Kluyveromyces lactis: one gene and its partners. The protein of the gene in region 1 interacts with the protein of each later gene in a biochemical or structural test. Links are inferred from orthologs where the notes say so. Each region holds a gene or a part of one and is shown on either strand. Other genes may lie near its edges.

Region 1 (4,480 bases):
CTGCTCATTTCGAAGAAGAAAAGCAAGCTTTGACTCAATACTTGCCATGGATCAAAACTTCTACCATCGAAGCCTTCTTGGTTGGTTCCGAAGCTTTGTACCGTGAAGATATGACTGCTTCTGAATTGGCAGATGCTATCTCTGATGTCAAGGACTACATTAAAGACATCAAGGATTCCGATGGTAACTCTTACAGTGGCAAGCAAGTCGGTACTGTTGACTCATGGAACGTTTTGGTCGATGGTGGATCTGCTACCGCCATTCAAGCTGCTGACTTTGTCATGGCGAACGCCTTCTCTTACTGGCAAGGTCAAACTATGGATAATGCTTCTTACTCGTTCTTCGACGATATCATGCAAGCTCTACAAACTATCCAAACTACCAAGGGTTCTACTGACATTCAATTCTGGGTTGGTGAAACTGGCTGGCCAACCGATGGTACCAACTTTGAAAGTGCTTACCCAGGTCTAGATAACGCTAAGCAATTTTGGGCTGATGGTATTTGTGCTATGAGAGGCTGGGGTGTCAACGTTATCGTTTTCGAAGCTTTCGATGAGGACTGGAAACCAGATACTTCTGGTATTTCCGATGTTGAAAAGTACTGGGGTGTTTGGGATGCCAACAGAAACTTGAAGTTCAAGTTGGATTGTGATTTCAGCTCTTAATTTTTGAGTTGAGCTTCTCTTCTCTTTAACATACAATACAGATTGTGTGTATTTTTTTTACCCTTCCACTTTCTCATTTGATACCGGTTATAATTGTTGACTTGTTGTTTCCTTTCGTCTCCTATTAACAACTCAAAATTATACAAATGAAGCTTTCATGTCACATTTAGGTCACACATTCCTTCAGCAAATTGATCCATTCATACTTGTTACTACGGCTGTTATCTAAAGGTGATATTAACTTATTACCTACTTGAATTCTTCAAATTGCGATACTATCCATTTTAATTCCTGGACTAAAAAAAAAAAAGAACATTAAAAGAGTACTTTATATATCACAACAGCAGAACATTTTCATGAACCATAAATGTATCTATCCCGTTGTCGAAGTATGCCCACAAAACATCGATCAAGAAGGCATCGTATATGGTATGAAAGCTTCAAAATTATTTTATTTCTTAGCAACATCTATATTTCACTTTTCATATAACTAAATTAAATCGATATTATTTTATACCCTATTTATCATCGATGATTATACGCAATCACACAAAGTTAGACGTCCATTTTGGCCTAACATCAACCGGCGACAGACTCCCACTTCACTTTGTTCTTTGCAATGGTACATTCATTTATCATTACCCGGCTACCAATCGTGTTCCATGATTATTTGAAAATTTTCACAAATTTTCACTCAGTGAAAGCTCATCTCAAAAGAAAATCTGAAAGGTTTGAAATCGAATTAATAGATGAAATTCAGTTGAGACGTGTAATAAGCAATACTTTTCAATTGTAGGTTGGAATCACCAGGTCGTAACAGGGAGACTAGGTTGAGATTAGTACGTGGTATTAAGGAAATAGAACAACGTTAAGCGATAGTCCATTCATCATGTCCCGTTTTTTTTTGAAGACATATGAGTACGATTCAACGTCTTCTGGTGAAGAAGAAGACTTGTTATCTCAAAGTGAAGAGGATTTAGTTTCATCCTCCAGTGAGGAAGAATTATCTGATGACTCTTTCTTCAACGACTCTGATGAGAGTTCCGATAATGATGAAGACAATGATTCTGATAGCAAACCCTACGGCCCTGACTGGTTCAAGAAGCCAGAATTCAGAAAAGGTGGTGGTTCAGGTGCTAACAAGTTCTTGAAATCTACCAACTATTCATCTGATGAAGACTCATCCGACGAAGAAGATGGTAAGAAGGTTGTGAAGTCAGCAAAAGAGAAGTTGTTGGATGAAATGAAATCTATTTACCAAAAAATTGATTCCGCAGAAGCCCAACAAGATTGGGAATCATTATTAAACCATTTGGAAACCATTTTGAAATTATACACAAAAGCCCAACAACAAAACTACGGTACACCTAATATCTTTGTGAAGTCATTGGCTAGATTTGAAGATGCGGTATCTGCTACTTCTCAGGATGAAATTAAGAATAAGGCAGTTGCAAGAGCTTATAACACCACCAAGCAAAGAGTTAAGAAGTTAATCAGAGAAAACGAAACCTCCGTTAAGGCTTACAGAGAAAACCCAGAGGACTTTGACAAGGAACCTGTCTTAGATGCTGATATAGACTCAAGAGATGTCTCTGCTACTCCATTCTCCTTGAGTGGTAAGAAGAATTTAGACTTGGCATCCGTGGCAAATAACATTTCTGAGCTAGACTTTTTCAAGACGTTGAATATTATCATCGATTCTAGAGGTAAGAAAAACACTGACCACACAGAACAAATTAAAACCACCGAAGAACTATTGAAGATTGCCAAGACTCCATATGAAAAGATCTGTACATACTTGAACTTGATTCCAATCAGATTCGATGCATCTGTATCCTTATCATACCAACCACTAGAACAATGGAAAGCATCAAAGGATAACTTGGATGGTTTATTGGAAGTGCTGGAACAAGAGATCGACCACTATCAAGTTACTGAATTTGCCCCAAGAAATGATTTCATTGAAGATGAACCAGAAGCTAATGAGCATGGTGTCAAGGAAATTTTGGGTTCTATCTTCTCTATGGTTGAAAGATTGGACGATGAATTTAGCAAATCCCTTTTGAACATTGACACTCGTTCCAGTGAATACATGGAACGTTTGAGAGATGAACAATCTATTTACAATTTGATTATCAGATCCCAATTGTACTTTGAACGTGTAACTGCAGAAGAACACCGCGATAGACTTTTGGCCCGTGTCTTCAACAGAAGACTTGAACATATCTACTACAAGTCCGACAAGCTCATCTCTATTATGGAAACCGTTGCATGGAAACAAATTCGTGAAGGAACTGCGTCCCTTGAATCCTCTTTCGTTCGTTTGAATGAATCAGATTCCGCAGATGCCGATTACAACTTCAAGGTCATCTCTGAATTGTCCGATTTCTTAATTAAACAAAAGAGTAACAACGTGTTCAACTACAGAAAAGGTACCTTGTACAAAACATATTATATTGCATTGAACCAAGAATACGCTCCAGCAAAGAAAATAATGCTTTCTTCCGATATTGCTAAATTCATTTCAGGCTCTGATGCAGCATTACAAATTTTGTACAATAGATGTGTTATTCAACTTGGTTTGGCTGCATTTAAGGCTGGTTTAATAAATGAATGTCACCAAGTTTTGAACGGTCTTTGTATTAATCCACATCTAAGAGAAATTTTGGGTCAACAAAGTTTACAAAGAGCTAATGCGAACAGCAATGTCGTGCAGGGTGCCCCTGTTGAACAATTATGTCTTCCTTTCCATCAACACATCAACTTGGATCTAATTGACACCGTCTACATGACATGTTCTTTATTACTTGATGTGCCTCACATGGCAGCTTATTACAGCGGTATTAAGGTCAAGAGAATCCCAGTTTTCCAAAAATCTATCCGCCGTATTCTAGAGAGTTCAGAGAAAGCTATTTTCCATGGTCCTCCAGAAACTCTAAGAGATCACATTCTTTATGCTGCAAAGTCAATGCAAAAGGGTGATTACTTACAATCGATCGAATATTTGAGGAAAATTTCTGTGTGGTCTTTGTTGAGTAAATCTGATGATATCATCAACCAACTAAGTGAAAAGGTTCAAATTGAAACTTTGAAAACTTACATTTTCACTTACAAGAGATTCTACTCTAAAATATCCATTTCTAAATTATCGAAATTGTTTGATCTTGATATCGAAAAGGTTTTGGCTGTAGCACAAAACATCATCAATGATTACGAAGTTAAAGCCAAATTGGATGAAAATAACGAATACATTATCTTCGAAAGAGGCGAAGAAATCACAAAGTTAGAAGAAGTTGCCATCAAGTTAGTTAAAGAAACCAAGTACCACTCTGAACGTTTACGCCAGTAAACATTTTCATTCTTCGTTCAGCAGATAAGGTCAGTTTCTAATTGTAGCACTCACCTTCCATACACATAACAAAATTTGCTCTTCCTTCTTTTGTTCACTTACCGTGCGCATATTAATAGACAGAGTCGTTGGCAAAGAACCTTTGTTTTAGCATTTGCAATAAATACTAGTATTTGTACATTATCGATAATATATAACATAGTTCTCACTGTAGGCAATTACGTAGTTTTTGAAATCAATTAATTGAATTTTGGAGACATATAACATCTCGAACATTGACTCGTAACAATACAGTTTATGCGCTGGTTCATTCTATATATATATGTATATGATACACATTTATGGACAAATGTATGTTATCAGTTGGAATAAACCACTTACCTTGCTAGTTATACATGGTTAGAGGAATATCATCCCATATTTATTTATATTATCGGTTAATGAACGTCTGACGAACTGGAATAAT
Region 2 (3,086 bases), on another chromosome or scaffold:
CTAATTCAACCGGTACAACAGGTTTAGTTCTCGGTCTACCACGTTTACGCTTTTCTGCTTTGGGCAATTTAGGCGTGTTCAAAGAGCCTATTTGCTGCAAACTCGATTCCTCTGACAGGAATGAAAGATCCATTGCAGACGAGAGGTTGGAATCATTCATTGTTACAGTACGCCATAGAAATCAAACCTACAGATCATTCATGTAATGAAACCGTCTGATGAAAGTGTATTTTTACTCTTCTTCCAACAAGATTCGCACCCTATTCTTCTCTTTTGACAGGACCTAGTATTCTTCTTGTCCATTCAGGATGTAAATATGATTTGATCTCAAATTGTGTCTTCTTTTTCCACGAAAGTGTAAACAAAAGAGAGAAAAGGATCATCACAGCTGAATATTGAAAGACAATAAATAGGTTATAAGAAGACAAGGGCAGGTCGGCACGGCGCACCTATCAGTGCCATTCTTGAGCCGCTAATGATGTATGCGCAAGGTCATGAATGTATTAAACATATGCGTATATATGATAGTATACATACAGTATTTTACAGAGCTAAAGGATAAATATTGAAGAGATTTAGTTCGCTCTTGATAAAATGAAAATGATATTTATTCTGTTAATGCAAAACAAGGAGATGGTTAGGATGATAAATAGAAAACGAAACACCGAAAAATCTGGTTAAAATTTGAATAGTATTTGAACTTTGACCATTTTCTTATAAGATCATGATTTTCTTTATTCCGAATCCTCATCATCTTCTTCGGCAGTTTTCAACCAAGTGATGAATGGCTTGGCAGCTCTACGAACCTTCTTAGAAACATCCTTTGGTACAAACTTCTTAGAGCATTTGGTACCGAAGCTGATAATCTCTTCTTCGGAAATGATGTCGTTGTTGTATAATTGGACCAAGATCTTTGGTAGTAATGGGATCAATTCTTGGTGATCAAGTCCAAGGAATCTTTCAATACCACCCAAAAAGTTCTTTTCGAAGTCTTCGTCCTTCAATAATTTTTGCAAGAACGCAGTATGTTCAGAGATATCCGATACGATATCTTCATCGAAAAGAACTTGGGCCAGAACTGCAGCAACCTTTGGATCTTCCAGAAGCTCGAGTTCTGCAATCTTTTTGTATAATTCAATATCGGTAGGTAGTTCTTCTTCATGTAGTACCCATTCACCAAATTCTTCCAACTTGGAGAATTCGCCAGTTTCTTTGTCAGCTTCACCTTGTAATTCTTTCGCACGAGCTCTGATGGCTTCTTCAGACATATCAACGGCCCAGTCCTCATCCTTGACTTCAATGGTAGCCAAGTTAGAGGCAGCGGCATTAATTTGTCTGGCCAATTCATCATCATCGGAATCGTTTTCTTCGGCATCGTCACCAGCTTCAGCTTGGGATTTACCTTGAGCGATATCACTAATAGAAAGACCACCACCTCTGACATTAGCAGACGCAGTGGCAGCCTTCTTCTTTTTCTTGGAACCGTTCATACTGTCAGGAGGGTTCTTTAAGACGAACGAGGACAACTTATGTCTCAAATCCATAGGGGTTCTCTTACCACAAGCTTTACAGTCTCTAACCAAATCACCATCTTTAGTGATAACAATTTCAGTTTCAGGATTCTTACAGGATCCACAAAGGACAAACTTAGTGATGAAACCATCCAATACGTCCTGTAATTTGGCTGGTTGATGAGCACCATTGACAATGTAACGATCATTTTCAACATTGATAGCAGTTTGGGCACCCAATTCAAACCCGAAATATTTGATGATGTATGGAGCTGGTCTGTTTAAAGCACGGGCAACATCCATGGTATTCATAACAACAGTTTTGATACCATTACCTCTACCTTCAATCTTAGCCTGAATTGGAGGCATTTTATAACGGTAGAAAGGGTCATTGTTGTCTCTGCAAATATTGATTGACATCTTCGGCTACTGTTACTAATCTCTAGTCACTTGTTTCTGCTACCACCGTGTCTTTGACGTTCTTCAAGTCTGGAAAACACAAAAACTTTTAAAAGTAAGTTCGAACTGATCCTGTATTGGACTGTAAAACGGGGTCATTAACGCCTTCTTGAATCATGTATATGGAAGAAGTTCATCTCATCTCTTAGAAGTTCAACTTCAACTCTTCGCGTGTGGCAATCAGATACTGAGGCCTTGATTCCTGAAAAATTTTCGTCGTTTATGGTGATATGAAAATACATGTCGAAACGGAGCATGTGTCACGTGCTTTAGCTCCAACGATTCATTTGGCTCTGTGATTGTTTAAGCATCGGTTCTGTAAGAGACATATTACAGGGTATAACATGGGTGAGATACGTATGGTGGTGTTAAATGTTTGAATACCTTCAATACAATTACTGCTCGTGGAATTTAGTGAGTAATTTACTGTGTTGAAATTGTGCTCGAATCTCACATACATCTTAGGGTCGAAATCTAACTTTGTTCATATCATGGATTTACTTAAGAACAAATTACTGGCAATCCATAAGACTGGCGCATGGGCCATTCTGCCACCTAAAGAAATTGATTTGGCTTATAAGGAAACGAAACTTTTGATAGATGCTGGGTTAAATGGGCTTGACGAAATTAGTTATTTCTCAATGGTCGAATTATTGTTTTATCTTTGTCTTGTTCGTGGTGAAGACACAGAGGCTGAAACATTGTACAAAACTGTGACAGATCGTCTAGGTGACGATTCTCCAAGAATTCATGTGATGCACTCTATGTTAATACAGGTCACTCGATCCGATGATGCGGCTAAGAAATATATCGAGGATTTGATCAAGAATCAGCTGGAAATAGCTACTGATTCAGAAGACTACGTACAGATGAAGAAAAGGCTACTTGCGATAGAGAGACCTTCGATGAGTAAAGAAAAATGGGTAAAAGAACTACTGGATCTGGTTGAGAAGTTTCCTCTAGATGCAGAAATATGGTCGTTACTTTCGCAAGAATACCAGGAGGCTGGGGACCTACGTCAAGCAATATATTGCATGGAAGAAGTCATAATTGGGGTGCCGTTCAGTTATGAAGCATTTGGTCAATTAGCTTATTTGCATTACTTGAAGTCTCAAT
Region 3 (3,947 bases), on another chromosome or scaffold:
GGGCAACCAAACTAAAAACCAAAGACATTGCAAACATGAAGGTGACTAGACAAGATTTCTTGAATGCGTTAGATGAAGTGACTCCTGCGTTTGGTGTTAGTGAAGAAGATTTGAAGACTTGCGTAGAAGGTGGAGTCTTTAGGTTCTCCAACTCCGTAGACGACATTTTGAAAAACGGTGCTAGATACGTCCGTCAAGTGAGAGAGTCAGACAAATCAAGACTAGTATCCTTACTAGTGCATGGTCCTCCAGGTTCAGGAAAAACTGCCTTAGCTGCCGCCATTGCATTGAAGTCTGAGTTCCCATTTGTTAGATTAATTTCCCCTGAAGAAATAGCAGGTATGTCGGAAACGGCCAAGATCGCATACATCGACAATACCTTCAGAGATGCTTACAAATCGCCACTTAACATTCTAGTTATCGATTCGATAGAGACTCTAGTTGACTGGGTTCCAATTGGTCCAAGGTTCTCTAATAATATCCTACAAGTACTCAAGGTCTATTTGAAAAGAAAACCTCCAAATAATCGTCGTTTGCTTATCATCTCTACTACGTCCGCTTACACGGTGCTTAAGCAAATGGATATACTAAGTTGTTTCGACAACGAAATTGCTGTCCCAAACGTATCAAACCTAGATGAACTGAATAACATTATGACAGATTCCGGATTTCTTGACGATGCTGGTAGAGTCGAAGTTATCCGCAAATTATCCCAAGTTACATCTACTCTCAACGTCGGCGTGAAAAAAGTACTCACAAACATTGAAACAGCAAGACACGATGAGGATCCCGTCAATGAACTTGTTGATCTAATGGTGCAATCATCTTGAATTATACTATTCATTTCTAATATGATACATTTATATATATATATATATTATACATATGTGATATGTACTCGCGACATAGCACATAAACTTCAACTTCGTTCTCAATGATATCAACTTTTGATGAAGGTTGAAATTTTTCAGCATGCTTCCGTTGAAGATCAAAGAGAATAAGTGAAAAAAAACTTTTCAGTCTATTTATGTGAAACTTCTTCCTATTGCACCTTGCAAAATAAAGATATATACTTGGATCTAGTCTCTGATTTAGAAAGGGTAGATAACAACCGTTCTCGACCCATCGATTATACTAGCATTTCATCATGGCTCCACCGGCTTTACGTCCTGAGAATGCCATTAGAAGAGCTGACGAATTAGTCTCTGTTGGCGAGCCAATGGCTGCGTTGCAATCTCTATTTGATTTATTATCTTCAAGAAGGTCTCGTTTTGCTGATGCTGCCACTTTGGAACCTATAATCTTCAAGTTCTTGGAACTTGGTGTTGAATTGAGGAAGGGTAAAATGATCAAGGAAGGTTTATACCAATACAAGAAGCATATGCAACACACTCCCGAAGGTTTGATTTCTGTAGGTGCTGTTGCTCGTAAATTCATCGATTTGATCGAAACTAAGATGACCAACATCCAAGCGCAAACTGATGCCAAAGAAGAATCCAACAAGGACCAAGCCGAAGAGGATCTAGAGGGTGGTGTCACCCCAGAAAATTTGTTGGTTTCTGTTTACGAACAAGAACAAACTGTTGGTGGATTCAACAATGATGATGTTTCAGCTTGGTTGAGATTTACCTGGGAATCTTACCGTACCACTCTAGATTTCTTGAGAAATAATTCTCAATTGGAAATCACGTATGCGGGTGTTGTTAACAGAACCATGCAATTCTGTTACAAATATAACCGTAAGAATGAATTCAAGCGTTTAGCTGAAATGTTACGTCAACATTTGGATGCCGCAAACTACCAACAACAGAGATATGGTCACCACACTGTCGATTTATCAGATCCTGACACTTTGCAACGTTATTCTGACCAACGTTTCCAACAAGTTAACGTTTCTGTTAAATTGGAATTATGGCATGAAGCTTTCAGATCCATTGAAGATGTTCATCATTTGATGCGTCTCTCGAAGCGTGCTCCAAAGCCCTCTGTGTTGGCCAACTACTACGAAAATTTGGCCAAGATCTTCTTTGTCTCTGGTAACTATTTATTGCACGCTGCTGCATGGGAAAAATTCTACAATTTGTACTTGAAGAATCCAAATGCTTCCGAAGAAGACTTTAAGTTCTATTCATCTCAATTTGTCTTGTCCGCTTTGGCAATTCAATTGGATGACTTACCAATTGCTGGTTTCGATCCTCAAATTCGTCTATGTGACTTACTAGACCTTGAAAGTAAACCAAAGAGAAAGGATTTGATTACTGCTGCTGGTGAACAACAAGTCGTAGAGAAAGCTGACGCTGATATTTTGAAATTCTTCAATATATTGGAAACTAATTTCGATGTGAAGTCTGCTAAGTCTCAATTGTCTGCACTTTTGCCAAACTTGGTTGAAAAGCCATATTTCGCCCAATACGTGGCTCCATTGAGAAACCTATTCATCAGAAGATCCATCATTGAAGTCTCAAAGGCTCAAACATCTATTCACTTAGTTGAATTGCATGAAATGTTGTCACTGCCAGCTCCTTTCGAATTATCTGTTTTTGAACTAGAAAAATACTTAATCCAAGCTGCTATGGATGATTATGTTAGTATTTCCATTGACCATGAAACTGATACCGTTTCATTTGCCCAAGATCCATTTGACGCTTGGCAAGCATCTCTTGTTGAAGTTCCCGAATCTAGCACTTCTGATGAAGCAAAGAACTCTGAATCCGAAGAGGAAACCTCCCAAGAAACGCATGCTGATGAGGAACAGAATGAACAAGTCTTCACTCGTAACTCAGAAGTCCGTTCTAAGTTGACTGATCTATCCAAGATCTTAAAGGCCAACGAAGAATACGAAAATGGTTCTTACTATTACAGAGTCAAACTTGTGCGTGAAGAATTGATCAGAAGAAAGGAAGAAGTTATCAAGTTAGAAAAGGAAGCTGCTGAAATTAGAGCTAAGAGTAACGCTGAACGCAAGAAGAGAAGCGAAGAAGAAAACAAGATTCTTGCCAAGAAGGCTCTAGAAGAAAGGCAAAGACGTATGGCTGAGGAAAAGGCTGCTGTTGAATCTTCTATGGAGAAAGAAGCGGAACGTCGTGCTGAAGAAATGATGGAACGTGAGAGAGAAGCGATCCATGAACAAGAAATGAAGAAGTTGATTGCTGAAACTAATGCCAATGGTGTCATTCATATTGATCCAAAGGAAGCCAAGAACCTAACAAGTGATAAGATCAACCAAATGGTCATTGAACAAGTAGCCAAGAACAAGAAGGATTTGACTGAACGTATGACCTATGCCTTCAAGAAGTTAGATCACCTGGAAAGAGCCTATAGACAAATGGAATTGCCATTGTTAGAAAAGGACGCTGAAGAGCAAAAAAAGAGGGATAGAGAGAATTACGACAATTTCAAGAAGAAGTTAATTGAGACTTCCAAGGCCGACTATGAAAAGAAATTGGCTCTACATCAACGTTTGAACAAAATCTACAGTACTTTCAACCAATACAAGTCATCTGTTATCGCTGAAAAGAAGGAAGAGTTAGAAAAACAACGCGCCTTGAAGGAAGCTCAATTAGAAGAAGCTAAGAAGCAAAGAATTGAACAAGTCCGTAAGGAACGTTATGAAGCTAAAGTTGCTGAAATACAAGCTGCAATTGAAGCTGAAGCTGCTGAAAAGGAGGCTTTGGCTAAGGAGGAAGAACTTGCCAAGAGACGTGCCGAACGTGAAAGAATCAACAAGGAAAGAGACGAAATTGCTAGAAAGCAAAGAGAAATCGAAGAACTTCTTGAAAAGAAGAACGGTAGCTCTAGATCTAGCCCTGTTCCTTCTACTCCAACCCCAGCACCAGCACCAGCACAAACTGCTCCGGTATCCAATAAACCAATGTCTATGGCTGAAAAGTTGAGACTGAAGAGAATGAATGCTGGAAGAGGTTAATATCTTGCATATCTCATTCAGA

The links.
Region 2: the proteins of NIP1 (region 1) and TIF5 form a complex in vitro, tested with the Saccharomyces cerevisiae proteins (6 studies listed by BioGRID). The link is inferred for Kluyveromyces lactis from reciprocal best matches to the Saccharomyces cerevisiae genes NIP1 and TIF5.
Region 3: the proteins of NIP1 (region 1) and RPG1 form a complex in vitro, tested with the Saccharomyces cerevisiae proteins (5 studies listed by BioGRID, with this or other methods). The link is inferred for Kluyveromyces lactis from reciprocal best matches to the Saccharomyces cerevisiae genes NIP1 and RPG1.

Annotation. Positions count from the first base shown.
Region 1 is NC_006042.1:279,689-284,168, reverse strand, and holds NIP1 (translation initiation factor eIF3 core subunit c), read left to right. Parts: upstream 1-1,554; coding exon 1,555-4,014; downstream 4,015-4,480. Other genes in the region: BGL2 (glucan 1,3-beta-glucosidase), read left to right, coding at 1-665. UniProt on the Saccharomyces cerevisiae protein: Component of the eukaryotic translation initiation factor 3 (eIF-3) complex, which is involved in protein synthesis of a specialized repertoire of mRNAs and, together with other initiation factors, stimulates binding of mRNA and methionyl-tRNAi to the 40S ribosome.
Region 2 is NC_006041.1:551,952-555,037, forward strand, and holds TIF5 (translation initiation factor eIF5), read right to left. Parts: upstream 1,932-3,086; coding exon 735-1,931; downstream 1-734. Other genes in the region: BIR1 (survivin), read right to left, coding at 1-160; EMC2 (Emc2p), read left to right, coding at 2,462-3,086. UniProt on the Saccharomyces cerevisiae protein: Catalyzes the hydrolysis of GTP bound to the 40S ribosomal initiation complex (40S.mRNA.Met-tRNA[F].eIF-2.GTP) with the subsequent joining of a 60S ribosomal subunit resulting in the release of eIF-2 and the guanine nucleotide.
Region 3 is NC_006039.1:1,266,388-1,270,334, reverse strand, and holds RPG1 (translation initiation factor eIF3 core subunit a), read left to right. Parts: upstream 1-1,147; coding exon 1,148-3,925; downstream 3,926-3,947. Other genes in the region: AAA family ATPase SEC18, read left to right, coding at 1-830.